Nothobranchius furzeri: one gene and its partner. The protein of the gene in region 2 purifies or fractionates together with the protein of the main gene of each other region. This does not show direct contact. Links are inferred from orthologs where the notes say so. Each region holds a gene or a part of one and is shown on either strand. Other genes may lie near its edges.

Evidence for each region. Proteins that work in one complex are often made in the same cells at the same time.
Region 1: the proteins of myosin-9 (region 2) and enkur purify together in Homo sapiens (affinity purification with western blotting; 4 studies listed by BioGRID, with this or other methods). This does not show direct contact. The link is inferred for Nothobranchius furzeri from reciprocal best matches to the Homo sapiens genes MYH9 and ENKUR.

Annotation. Positions count from the first base shown.
Region 1 is NC_091747.1:58,838,514-58,844,187, reverse strand, and holds enkur (enkurin), read right to left. Parts: upstream 3,226-5,674; 5' UTR 3,119-3,225; coding exon 3,039-3,118; intron 2,604-3,038; coding exon 2,458-2,603; intron 2,385-2,457; coding exon 2,155-2,384; intron 2,073-2,154; coding exon 1,926-2,072; intron 1,834-1,925; coding exon 1,660-1,833; 3' UTR 1,484-1,659; downstream 1-1,483. Other genes in the region: prtfdc1a (phosphoribosyltransferase domain-containing protein 1), read right to left, coding at 197-380, 452-558, 908-952. UniProt on the Homo sapiens protein: Adapter that functions to localize a calcium-sensitive signal transduction machinery in sperm to a calcium-permeable ion channel.
Region 2 is NC_091747.1:73,544,676-73,550,914, forward strand, and holds the start of myosin-9, read left to right. Parts: upstream 1-2,212; 5' UTR 2,213-2,346; intron 2,347-4,762; 5' UTR 4,763-4,767; coding exon 4,768-4,953; intron 4,954-5,036; coding exon 5,037-5,177; intron 5,178-5,251; coding exon 5,252-5,408; intron 5,409-5,515; coding exon 5,516-5,543; intron 5,544-5,886; coding exon 5,887-5,977; intron 5,978-6,239. UniProt on the Homo sapiens protein: Cellular myosin that appears to play a role in cytokinesis, cell shape, and specialized functions such as secretion and capping. Required for cortical actin clearance prior to oocyte exocytosis. Promotes cell motility in conjunction with S100A4.

The DNA.
Region 1 (5,674 bases), about 15 Mb from region 2:
CAATGAAATGTGGAATAATTAGAATTTCCTCAAATACTAATGTTCCAGGAATGTTTGAGCAGCTTGATTTCCAAACACACACGCAAATGAGTCTGAAATCAAATAAATCATTGAACATCTTTCTCATTAAAGGGCAAACATTGTCCTAAAATGTGTCATGCAAGTGAGCAGAACTTGCGAGAACTAATTTACCAACCAGGTAGCTCTTCAGACGGATGAACTCCACCCTCGTCTCCAGGTACCGGTTGGAGCTGCGACCAAGAATCTTAATGAACTCCACCAGATCTGAGCAGAACTTGTAGCCTCCCTTCAGGACGCACAGAACCACGATCTTACTGTCCTCAAAGTCGTCCATAACGTATCGGGCCAGGCGCTCAATCCTGGAGGAGGAATCAAAATCACACCAGGGATGGGATTTCCAAGAAATCAACCAGCTCATGCGGGCTCCTACCTGTCCATGATGATGCCATGAGGGATGTAAACGTTCTCAATGTCATGGTGGTAGTGTTCTGGGTAGGTGAACAGGTCCAGACTGTAGCCGGGCCAGTCGTCTTTAATCTGAAGGAAACAAAATACTAAGGGCAGAGCTCTGCAGGTCCTACAGCAGCTGATGCTGTTTGGAAGCACATTGAACTTTTTAATAAAGCATTATTTTGTTGATTTTTTTTTAAAGCTTTGTTAAATTTTAGGTTTAATGAGATGTTGGTACTAAAATGTGTTCAACCAAACTGTGAGAACATCAGCGGGTACAGCGCTCTCAGAGAGCTGCTCAAATAATACAAAAAACATTTTTATATCTACAGAGAGGAAAAATAGGGGATTTTTAAAAATGTTCTTATGCATAAAAATCATTACAAAATCTAAATAAATAAACAAATAAATAAATCAGACTTTTTGTTTAACTTACCACAATTCCTCTTTTCATGTCTCCATCTTTCACTTGTGCTGACATGATGAAGACCGTCTGCACTGCAGGTTTATTCACCTTTAAGGGGATCACAGAAGCAGCTCTAGCCCAGTGAATTTATACTTTAAATGAAGAAAGTTAAGAACAAAAGTGGAGAAGGTACATATCCATCTGAAAAGAGCTGATTAATAAATCCTCTCGCTGTTGTGCTCCTGTAGCAGCAGCTGGCGAAGCAAAGAGGGAAAAAGGAGAAATGTCTAGGGAAGTCGTGTCCTTTCACGTGGGCCGTGCTATCACACTTGAGTCGTTTTGGTAAAAGAAAGGCTTTGTTTGGGTCAAGGAGACTTTAAATGGATAATCAGACGCATGTGATGCTACGCTGGCCGACCGGACGCAGACGGAGGGGGATGGAAATGAAACAAACTGCAGAAATTCGCTTCAGTTATGCCCAATTCACTCAGAAGCGTCATTCTAAAAGCTGCTCACTGAACTCATCACTGATCCAGAAGCTCCTCCACCTTCCTCGTTAATTCAGTTCCCCTTCAGAAACTTTTCAACAAGATTCGGAGCAACATATGCCATCCTTGATAAGGTTTTATTCATTTCCTCCAGATAATGTTGGCCATCTAAAACAATCCAGAGTTTAAAAAGGACGTTATTTCAAAATAAAACACCAACGTGTGGAATAATTATCAATTAAAGGAAATTAAATAGATGATATTAGAGTTTCCAACAGTCAGTGCTGTCTGAGACTAATCTTTGGGTTTGTAGATGATTGTGTACGTCTCAAAGTAGCTGATGTCCTTCTCCAGCTGACTCATCGCCTCTTCCAGCCTTTTCTTGTGGGCTTTCTTCGAGAAGGTGTCGATGATGAGAGGAAGGCACTGGTACTCACGATGAAAATGATCCCATCTCTTCTTCAGCCCCTGGAGGAGATACATGAAGAGGAAACAAGACATGATGGTTGGGTATGATCTCTCATGGCCACAGTTTAAGAGGTTTGGCTTGGTTTGAGCACCTTCAGTATGGACTGTCGCTCCTCTTCTGACAGGCGCTTCTTAGCTTCCTGCTCCTTCTGCTCCGCTATGAAGCGTTCATACTCCTCCTGAGTCTTAGTCTCTTCTTCTCTGCGCTTCTGCAGGTATGCAGGTACTTCGCCATAATCCTGCAGGGAAACCTTTGGTTTGCCTTGGATCTGACGCTAAATTTACCATTCAGTTTTGTGTTTTCGTTGTGGTAAATAATACCTGTTTCAAGACGTATTTGGGGACAAGTCCAGACTGTTCTAGGAGCTGCTTATCTCCTTTCCTACTGTCTACAGAAGCGGGCGTAGGCTTCACCGGCACTGCAACAGTTGTTTGTGAAAAATCCTTCTTGGTGTGAATCTCCATCGGTGGGATGTCCGTCCTTTTAGGTACTGGTGGCTTTCTCACAGTGCAAGTGCAAGTTCTGAGGCACTTTTTGGAGCACTCTGTCACTGAGGGATCGCAAAAAACATGTCAGGCATGACTAAAAGACCAATCTAAAAATGGTTCATTACAAGAACTCACCTTCAGGCAGTTTGGGCTCCTTTGAATGCTTCTTAAGGAACTTGTCTGGAGATGGCATTTCCACGTTCGCTGGTCCCATCGTCTTCATCGAATCTTTGGTTGCCTTGTTCTCAAGAATGACAGCTTGTCTGAACTTGGATACATACCTTTAGGAACATTTCAGAACATTAGAAAAAATAAGTTGGGTTAAAACAGAGTACATGTCATGATAATAAATGCAGTCAGGTTATAACCTGGAATGTATCTTTGACTACACTCTTATGATTTTATAGAATACCTACTGGTGTTTATGACTTTGATTTTGTTTCGGTAAATTTATTTTACAGGTTAGAACAGCTTTACAATTTCTACGATGAACTTTTCCTGCCAGGCTACAGATTTCATTATTGTAACCGAATTACATAAATTAGGGGTTTGAATGCTAAACTATAAAACAATTTTTTATGTCATTGTGCTTTTCTTTATGTAAAATAAGTCATTTGTAGGGTGTTAATTTATTTATTTAGGCAGCAAAAAGTAATACAAAAGTAAAGACGTTTAAACTATTTAACACTTTGACGACCCAATGTAAGAATACTAACCTCGGCGCTTTTTGAACTTTGCTCTCTTCCTTTGACAAATGGTTGTAGACGCTTTCTGGTGGCTGTTGAGAGTCCGACATGTTGACAATTTAATAAAAGCACGATAGTAAAAAGGTTTAATTTGACACTGGAGTTCAGCAACCGAAAAAATGAACGACTGCCTTGTTGCTAGGTAACCGGTTCCTCCAAACGCGGCATTCCAGGACAGTTTGGAAATATTCAAACCGTGCTTGCACATCGCGTTGTCAAACAAACACTTAAAGTCTCTAAAACAATTAAAAGAGGCGGTTGATTGTGAACGTACTTCTAAGATAAGATGAAATAACTCTAATTCTGAAATTCGTCAAACTTCAGTCAAACAGTCGATGCTTTGGAATGGAAAACACTAAATTCCGAGCTTCCTATTCGGTTTGGAATGCAACACCCTATTTTTCATGTGTTAAATTGTGTGTGTGTGTGTGTGTGTGTGTGTGTGTGGGGGGGGGGGGGGTCGAAATTATGCGTTTTCGAACTCGCTCTTATGCTGTAACTTTACGTAACAGTACTTATTCATGATCCTAAAGATACATGCCAATTTATGCCGTCAAATATATTTTTACAAAAGTTATTTGCGAATTTGACAATTTTGTCCCAGTATGCTTGCTGTAGCAGTCATTGGAGGCATGCTAAAGCCGGAGCGAAAATAGAAATCGTTGTCACGTGAGTGTTTGTATTGTAGATACTTTATGCTAGCTAGCTAACCGTAAGTAAGCCAGACCTCCTTCGGTTTTTACGGGCGCAACTACAAGATAAATTACGGTGTCCTCGTTTGAGAGTGCCTTTAGTTTTAGCTAAACGTCTCCAATTACCAGTTTTGTTCATTTGTTATGATGGAAAGTATACCATTGTAACCGAGCCTTCCATAAAGACACGGTAGAAGATATAGGATTGTGGTTGCTCAAGAAAAGGTTGATAACCGTGAACTCTCAGGGTCGCTATATTTTAAATAACACCATTAACAACTCCGCTCCAACTTCTGTTGTTTTTCTCTTTTCAAACATCACATCCTGTCAGCAGCACCTTCAAAATAAAAGTCCCATAAAAGTGGGTTACACCATCATAAACCATAAAAATGCCCACTGTACCTGGTCAGAAACTCCTGGTTTTTGCTTCTGAAATAAAGACGGAATTGTTTTGTTAGTAACAAAAGTTTATAGTTCCATAATGGGCCCAAATGTAAAATTTGATGTCACTGATTCTGGTGTGATCAAACTATGAGTCTAAAATCATAATATTTCAAGTATAGTGTTTCAACATGTTTTTATTATTTTTTTTCATAACGTGCAAATTTGTGCATTAATAAAATTAACTGATATGTTTCACTTACCCAGGGTCAACAGCTGCTTTCCTTTTCCTGAATGGCTTTACTACACGCAGGTCTGCTTGCACTAAGAGCTGCCAGATGTTACCTGTGTCCACTTTCAACATCAAAATCATGGCTTTCCACCAAAGCTAGCCCACTGGGGGACACAAACATCCTCCTCATGGGCCCGCCTGGAGCAGGAAAGACCACGGTTGCAAAGATAGTGGCTCATAAACTGGGAATTCCTGTCATTGACATTGACATCGACGTCTTGGAGACGACGTGGAAGATGCCCGTTGCAGCTAAACTAGCAACAGTAGGTGGACAGCGTTTTTTAGAGGAAGAAGGTCAGGCTTTGTGTGGCTTCTCAGCATCCGGGTGTGTTGTGTCACTGACGGGTTCTAACCCTCTCCACACTGAGGCAATGCAGCATGTCACACAGAGCGGACTCGTCATTTACCTTGACGTGGACAGTGACGATATAATTCAGAGACTCGACAGGATGAAGGTGAACAGGATTGTGGGTCAAGCAGCAGGAGTGTCCATTAGAGACATTTTGCTTTACAGGAAGCAGTTTTATGAAAAGTGGCTTGACTTGCGGGTGTTTTGTGGAAGAGGAGACACGGTGGAGGAAGTGGTGGAGAAGGTGCTGCTGGCTGTGGAGCGATATCAGAAACGGGATGAGGAAACGTACGTGTCTACTAGGTGTGATGGCGCAGAGCTGGACGGACACAAAACATATTTCACTAATGTGGTGGTGGAAGGCCTGGCTGCTGATGGTGGCCTGTATGTTCCTAAAAAAGGCTTTCCCAAGATTAGTAAAAAGGAATGGCTCAGATTGGTTTCAATGACATATCCAGAGCGAGCTTTAGTTTTACTAGAAAAGTGCATCCACCCGTTGGACATCTCTGCTTCTGATCTCAGAACAATGATACTTAAAGCGTACGGGTCTAACTTTTCTAGTGAGAGAGTTGCGCCTGTCAAACATCTCATCCACAATCAGTATGTTCTGGAGCTTTTTCACGGCCCTACTGCCTCATTCAAGGACTTGGCCTTACAGTTAATGCCTCAAATCTTTGCTCACTGCCTCCCACCATTGTGCAACTTCCTCACACTGGTTGCCACGTCAGGAGACACCGGCAGTGCTGTGCTGAGCGGCTTCTGTCAACTTACTGGCGCCGATAGACACCGGACCGGCGTGTTGGTGTTTTTCCCAGAAGACGGAGTCAGTGAGATCCAGAAGCTGCAGATGATGAGCCACAAGGCAGGGAACGCCAAGGTAGTTGGGGTGCTG
Region 2 (6,239 bases):
GCAGTACTTCCCCCGTTCTTAACCTCGTCCTTCGTCTGTGGTCTTCCGCAAGGAGCAGTAATTCCGCTTGCAAAAACAAACAAGCAAAAAGCGCTTGGACAATTGATAAAGCGAGCGCAGCTCTGAGGGCATCCATGCTGTCGGCTAGTGTAAACACAGGTCGCACACGTGATGTCAGCATTTTTTTGTCGTGGAAAGTGACGTTGCGGACCTTAAAACTCCGGTTTTGTCTGTCCACACGCAGACACCCAAAACGGAGAAAACGCAGATCTTCACTTTGGCCGGAGTTTTTAAAAAGATCCGTTTTCGTGTGAAAGAAAAATATCTATGTTTTGGCAGATCCCCGGCTACGTGTGGACAGGGCCTTAGACAGAGATCCTCAAAAGTGATGGTGTAATACCAATGCCCTATACACTGGCGCTACTGGCTACTGATGCGGGTGGTGGTCTTTACGTGTGTTTAAAAGAATTGCAGCTTGTGTTTATTTCCGATGATGTTCATTATTTCGTCTTGTTCCACAAATGTCCACGATCCTTTCACAGCAGTTAAAGTGGTTTACAGTGAATGCGTTACTTGCCCCAATGACAGTCCGCAGGGTCCTTTACACCCAGCCGCAGTCCTCGCCACACAATAAAAAACTGTTTGTGCCATCACAGCAACACCAGAGTCTAATCTGTGTTGGCTTAAGTAGGCTGGTGCTTCCACAATCAATTTGACCAATCAAATGAGGCCAAGCCTCCTCTCATGTATGCAGAAAGAAAATGAAAGACCCATATGGCTCCTACAGATGGACTTGCATCCATTTGGTCCAACCTTGAAGATGGCACGATCCTACATACCAAGATCTTAAACAACTAGCACTCACACCATCTGTTGTGCACGACTCTCAGCTGCTAATGTGAATATTTAGCTCTGAGGTAGTGCTGTTTGTGCGGCAGCCATGTTATCTCAGTTTCAGCAGAGATTCAGCTAACAGACAAGCAAACTGGGACAGATGAGTCTGAAATGGATCTTTTTGTAGAACAACGATCGGGAACATTGAGGTGGAGCAGTAGGAGATTATGTAGAGGATTAGCTCTTCTGCAGAAATCTTTCATTGCGAAAAAAGCTAACCCGAGTCTTTTATTTTGATCATTGGCGGTTTTAAACAGGGGCCTGGGCCCCTATAGAACTGGCCCTGGCCCCTGTTATGGCCCCTGTGCTGAAGAGATCGGATTTTTCCCCCCGCGCTGCCTCGGAGACGGGAACTAATGCGCTGCAGCGTTTCACACGGAGCCTTTAGAGTGCAGCACACTCTGTGGACAGAACTGTTTACCCGGTGGATTTTTGAATAAAAGATTAAGAATAGTTTAAATGGGACCCAAAGAAATTCTTGAGGACAACTAACGGAAAAGACGCTGAGAGACGAAGGCAAGCAATACAGTTTATTTTCCTGACATCAATGAATTTCCTTTGGCAAAATTGTGTACAAGCACAAAATTAGTCATATGGCGACGACAAAAAAGAATTTTGATATTGCCCTAATTTTCCCCTTTTTTTTCTTGCGCCCCCATGAAAAAATACTGGCCCCACTGTGGCCCCCCTGGAAAATTTGGCCTAGAACCGCCCCTGATTTTGATATTTGGAATTGATGGACTAGTTAGAACCCCATAAACAGAACGGTGTCAGAGCTTCCAGCTGTTGCAGATGTTTCTATGTGGACTCCATCAGAAAGGTTAAGAGTTTTAAATACTGGGACTGACTTTTTAAATGTATGCCCGTTAAAAAAAAAAACTTTTTTGAGGAATTTTTGCGCAGTACGAATGTCACAAATCACCATAAATTAAATTAAGCATTTTTGATAAAACGAAACCACGTTTTTGAAGCCCATTGGGAACCGGAAAAACGGGCTCGCTGGTTTTTTATTCCCCTTTCTGTCTCATTTGAATATTCGGTGTGTGTTTCGGTGCATAGAGGTGTGTTTATACACTGGAGGTAATCATTCAGCTGCATTTATCTGGCAACACGTAATTTGTTTCCGTGTTTTGTGATTTATTACATTCACCAACGCGTCTAAAAGTAAGTTAAAAGTGAGAGTTAAAAGCACCCCTGTGCAGAAATCCCTTCCGTGCTCCGTGATGCCATTGAAAGCAGCGCGCGCAGCCGCCGACAGGTGGGCGTGGCCACGAGCTCACCTGAGAAGTGATAAAAAGTGAGCAGCTGAGCGGCGCGCGGAGTCCATCCGGGCTAAAGTCGGGCTCCGAACAGTTAGACGGGCTCTCTTGGCTCTAGGGGACACCGATCGAGACGTCAGCCGGAACCGAGAGCAGAGACGGAACCAGGAAGAACTCAGCTGCTGAGATCCAGGTGAGTGGGTTTCTTCTCCTGCAGGAGGGACATTTAAATATGGGGATTTCTGCAGCTCACCTGCTCCAGGTGTTCTGGTCAGAGGATGTTTAGAGCCAACAACCCTTTTTTTAACCGTTTCAGCTAAATTTGGTGCAAACTTGAGATGAAAGAATTTATTTCACTTAACACCTAAAGTGACACCAGAAGATGCTGGTTTCTGGTTACTACAGGCATGTGTAGATTATGGGATGAGCATCAGTTTAGTCCTGAAATGAGCGGAGCCCAGTTCTGGTTCTGGTGCTCAGACAGCAAGCAGGGCTGGTCTGTGGCTTCAGTTATCTACAATCAGTGACGGACTTCCTCAGCCAGGCCGGGTTCAGGCCGAGCCTGACTTCTGTGAAATGAGTCTTCCTCTTTAGGTTCATCATCACAAACAAGACCTGCTTCATTATAGTCTGCAGGGACAAGAGGACCTCACACCAGTCTTGTGTGTGTGTGTGTGTGTGTGTGTGTGTGTGTGCGTGCGGGCGAGCGTGTGCCAGGATAAGAAGCAGATTGGCAAACAGCCGAGATCAGTTCAGTGGTGATGCTGCAGAAAACGTGCCAAGGAGCACAAAGGATTAGCGGTGCAGACCGTGCACACACCCTTAGCAGACTGCAGCAGCTCCTTTAGTCGTTTCAAAGAGCTGCGGGAGAGTTTGTGTAACTTCCTGCAGAAGTTAGTTCAGCAGCAGCAAAACCACAAACCCTCATGAAGCATCACAAGTTCTCACACAGATGAAGCGTTTCTGGGTCGGTGCTGGTGATCTGGACGCTGCAGGATGTCAGTCCTCTCCCTCTGATCTCCAAGAGTCTGAGCTCATAATGAACTTAAGGGAGACACAGATGACACCCTGTGCACTGATCCCTTTATCCCTCACTCTATAAACACACACAGACACACACTCTTTCATCATCCATACGTGGAAGTAGCTCATCTGAATAAATATTTGTTCTCCAAGGACCCAGCTGACCGTCCAGAACATAGAATTTTATCTGATGTGGGGCTGGAGGGGTTGTAAGGGTGTGGTCTGGATATGGCATGTGCCCAGACCTGCTCCAACATTCCTCCACCTCCAAAGCACCAATCCAAGGGTCTCCATCAGAACCTTCTTACAGTTTGAACAGCAAACGCCAGGAACACGGAGCAGGACACAAAGGCTGCTCATTAGCTCTGGAAGTTTGAAAAGTGAACGGATGGTTGAAGATGACGATGAGGGGTTGGGAATTTGTGGAATTCTCTATAATGAGAAGGTGAAGAAGGAATGTCGTGGAAATGGAGAGGAAGAAGAGTCGTGTTGAAGACTTAAAAAGAGTAATTTAATGGACCTTAGCTGTGGAGCGTCATCTGTGTGGAGTGTTGTCTCATTCCAACCAGCTTTGGATAAAAGATGCTCCGTGTTCACTCAGAAGGATTCAGTGGAAAACTTCAAACAGCTGTTTTAGAAGATGTGTCCAAACCTGTCCCGTGCCTCCCGTGTTTGTGGATCGGAGTGCACACGCCTCAGCTCTGTGTGTACACGAGGAGCTCAAAGTCATTATATAAACTTGACACCTCAGGGTGATTTGAGTCTGCAGTAATAACAGCTCCCAGTATAGATACACCGAAGCTCTTCAGCTGTGCTAAATATGATTAATCCTCTGTTTCAACAGGCAACAGCCTCTCTAATGTAACAAAAACACTCGGCTAACAGGAAAACGACGGATAAAGCCGAACACGTCTGATTATTGGTGAGTCAGAATAGACCCAGAGCTAAGGCCATCTGCGCCCAGAGTCTCGGCCACAGCCACGTTGTTTCTGAGACCCTAAACGCTTAGCTCGTCCGAAAAGTCATTAGTGGTTGCAGAATGTCTGCGTTATGATCATATCTTTGATGCGGTCTCCTCCCACGCTCTCCTGTAGCAGAAATCTTCATCTAGATGCCGATTTGAATTAAAACCCCAGTCTGACCGCATCGCCAAGCAGCCCTGGTTCCTGCCTGAGCACGAATGTTTTTGTTCAGTCCCTCTGACTCATCAACATTTAGGGATTTATTTTCAGGAAACTGCAAAGTTCTGGTAATTTTAGATTTGAGATATGAAGCAATTTGATCTAATCACACACACAGAAACCTGGTGGCAAATTCCTGAGCGTCAGACGCCGGGTGGAGCATCGAGTAGATTTTACAATCAAATCTTCTTTTGAGAATCTAAAACTGCCTGAATTAAATAGAAATGGTGATTTTTGTGGTGTTCACGTGTAAAATTTATAAATAATGATCCTACCTGTTGTGTAGCTTCCTGAACAGCCTTTGTTTAGAGAAATGGAGTTTCTTTTTGGGACTGATGAGCTAACTACTAGTCTATTTTCTTTTGTCTTGACTCATCTGATTAAACTCTGTTTTGCGTCCTGCAGCCACCATGACTGATGCAGACAAGTTCCTGTATGGGGACCGCAGCGAGGTCAACAACCCCCTGGCTCAGGCCGACTGGGCCTCCAAGAAGCTGGTGTGGGTTCCCAGTGAGAAGGTGGGCTACGAAGCCGGCTCGCTGAAGGAGGAGCAGGGAGACGAGTGTGTGGTGGAGCTGTCGGACTCTGGCAAGAAGGTGAGGATCAAACCTCAATTTGTGTTTCTGGAGTCTTGTCTGCGGCAAATGGCAAACCTCCTGCTTGGTTATTTAAATCTTAGGTGAAGGTCAACAAAGATGATATCCAGAAAATGAATCCTCCCAAATTCAGCAAGGTGGAGGACATGGCAGAGCTCACCTGCCTGAACGAAGCCTCCGTGCTGCACAACCTGAAGGAGCGATACTACTCGGGACTCATCTACGTGAGTGTTCCGATCCGTTGCTGCTCACCGGATTCAGAGGTTCTCTCTAACGTTGCCATCCCGCTGTGATCCAGACGTACTCCGGTCTGTTCTGTGTGGTGATCAACCCCTACAAGAACCTGCCCATCTACAACGAGGAGATAGTCAACATGTACAAGGGCAAGAAGAGACATGAGATGCCCCCCCACATCTACGCCATCACAGACACGGCCTACAGGAGCATGATGCAGGGTGAGACGGCGTAAACCGCGCCCGTTATACATGATGTTACCGTTAGCTAACGACTGAACTTTAGCACATCTTCATCTTTCATGAACCGAAACTTCTCTCTCTAACAGATCGGGAGGATCAGTCCATCCTTTGCACGTAAGTCTCGTAAATTATCTTCTCAGCTCTTGTCAAAAGCTTCACGAACAGCCTCCGCTTGGTGAACTAGAGAATACGTTCTATGGGACTGATAAGCTAACGGCTAGTCTAAGAACAGCCAAGACTGGTGTACTTGTGCCTTTAAACAGTTTTCATGAGGTACTGTGAAAGATTTTTTTGGTGTGTTTTAAGAAGGTAGCAGTTCATGTTAGCGTAGCTATGCTAGGACTAGCCGTTAGCCATTTCTCCAAATTCCATCCAGGAAGATATTTATGATCAAGATTTTTTACTTTTCTGTTTTGGACATGGTTTTTAACATATTTTTATGATTTAATCCCCGCAGTGGGGAGTCTGGAGCCGGCAAAACGGAGAACACAAAGAAAGTCATTCAGTATCTTGCACACGTTGCTTCATCCAAGTCTAAAAAGGACCAGGTTAGTAAAACACAACTCGAGAGTGGAAATGCTCCATCGTGTGTGTGTGTGTGTGTGTTGTGTGTGTGTGTGTTGGAACATTCCTGTTTCAGGCCCAGACGTGCTGCATTTCCTAGTAAAGCAAAGTGTGTGTGTGTGTGTGTGTGCGCGTGTGTGCGTGTGTGTGTGTGTGTGTGTGTGTGTGTGTGCGTGTGTGTGTGTGTGTGCGTGTGTGTGTGTGTGTGTGTGTGTGTGCGTGCGCGTGTGTGTGCGCGTGCGTGTG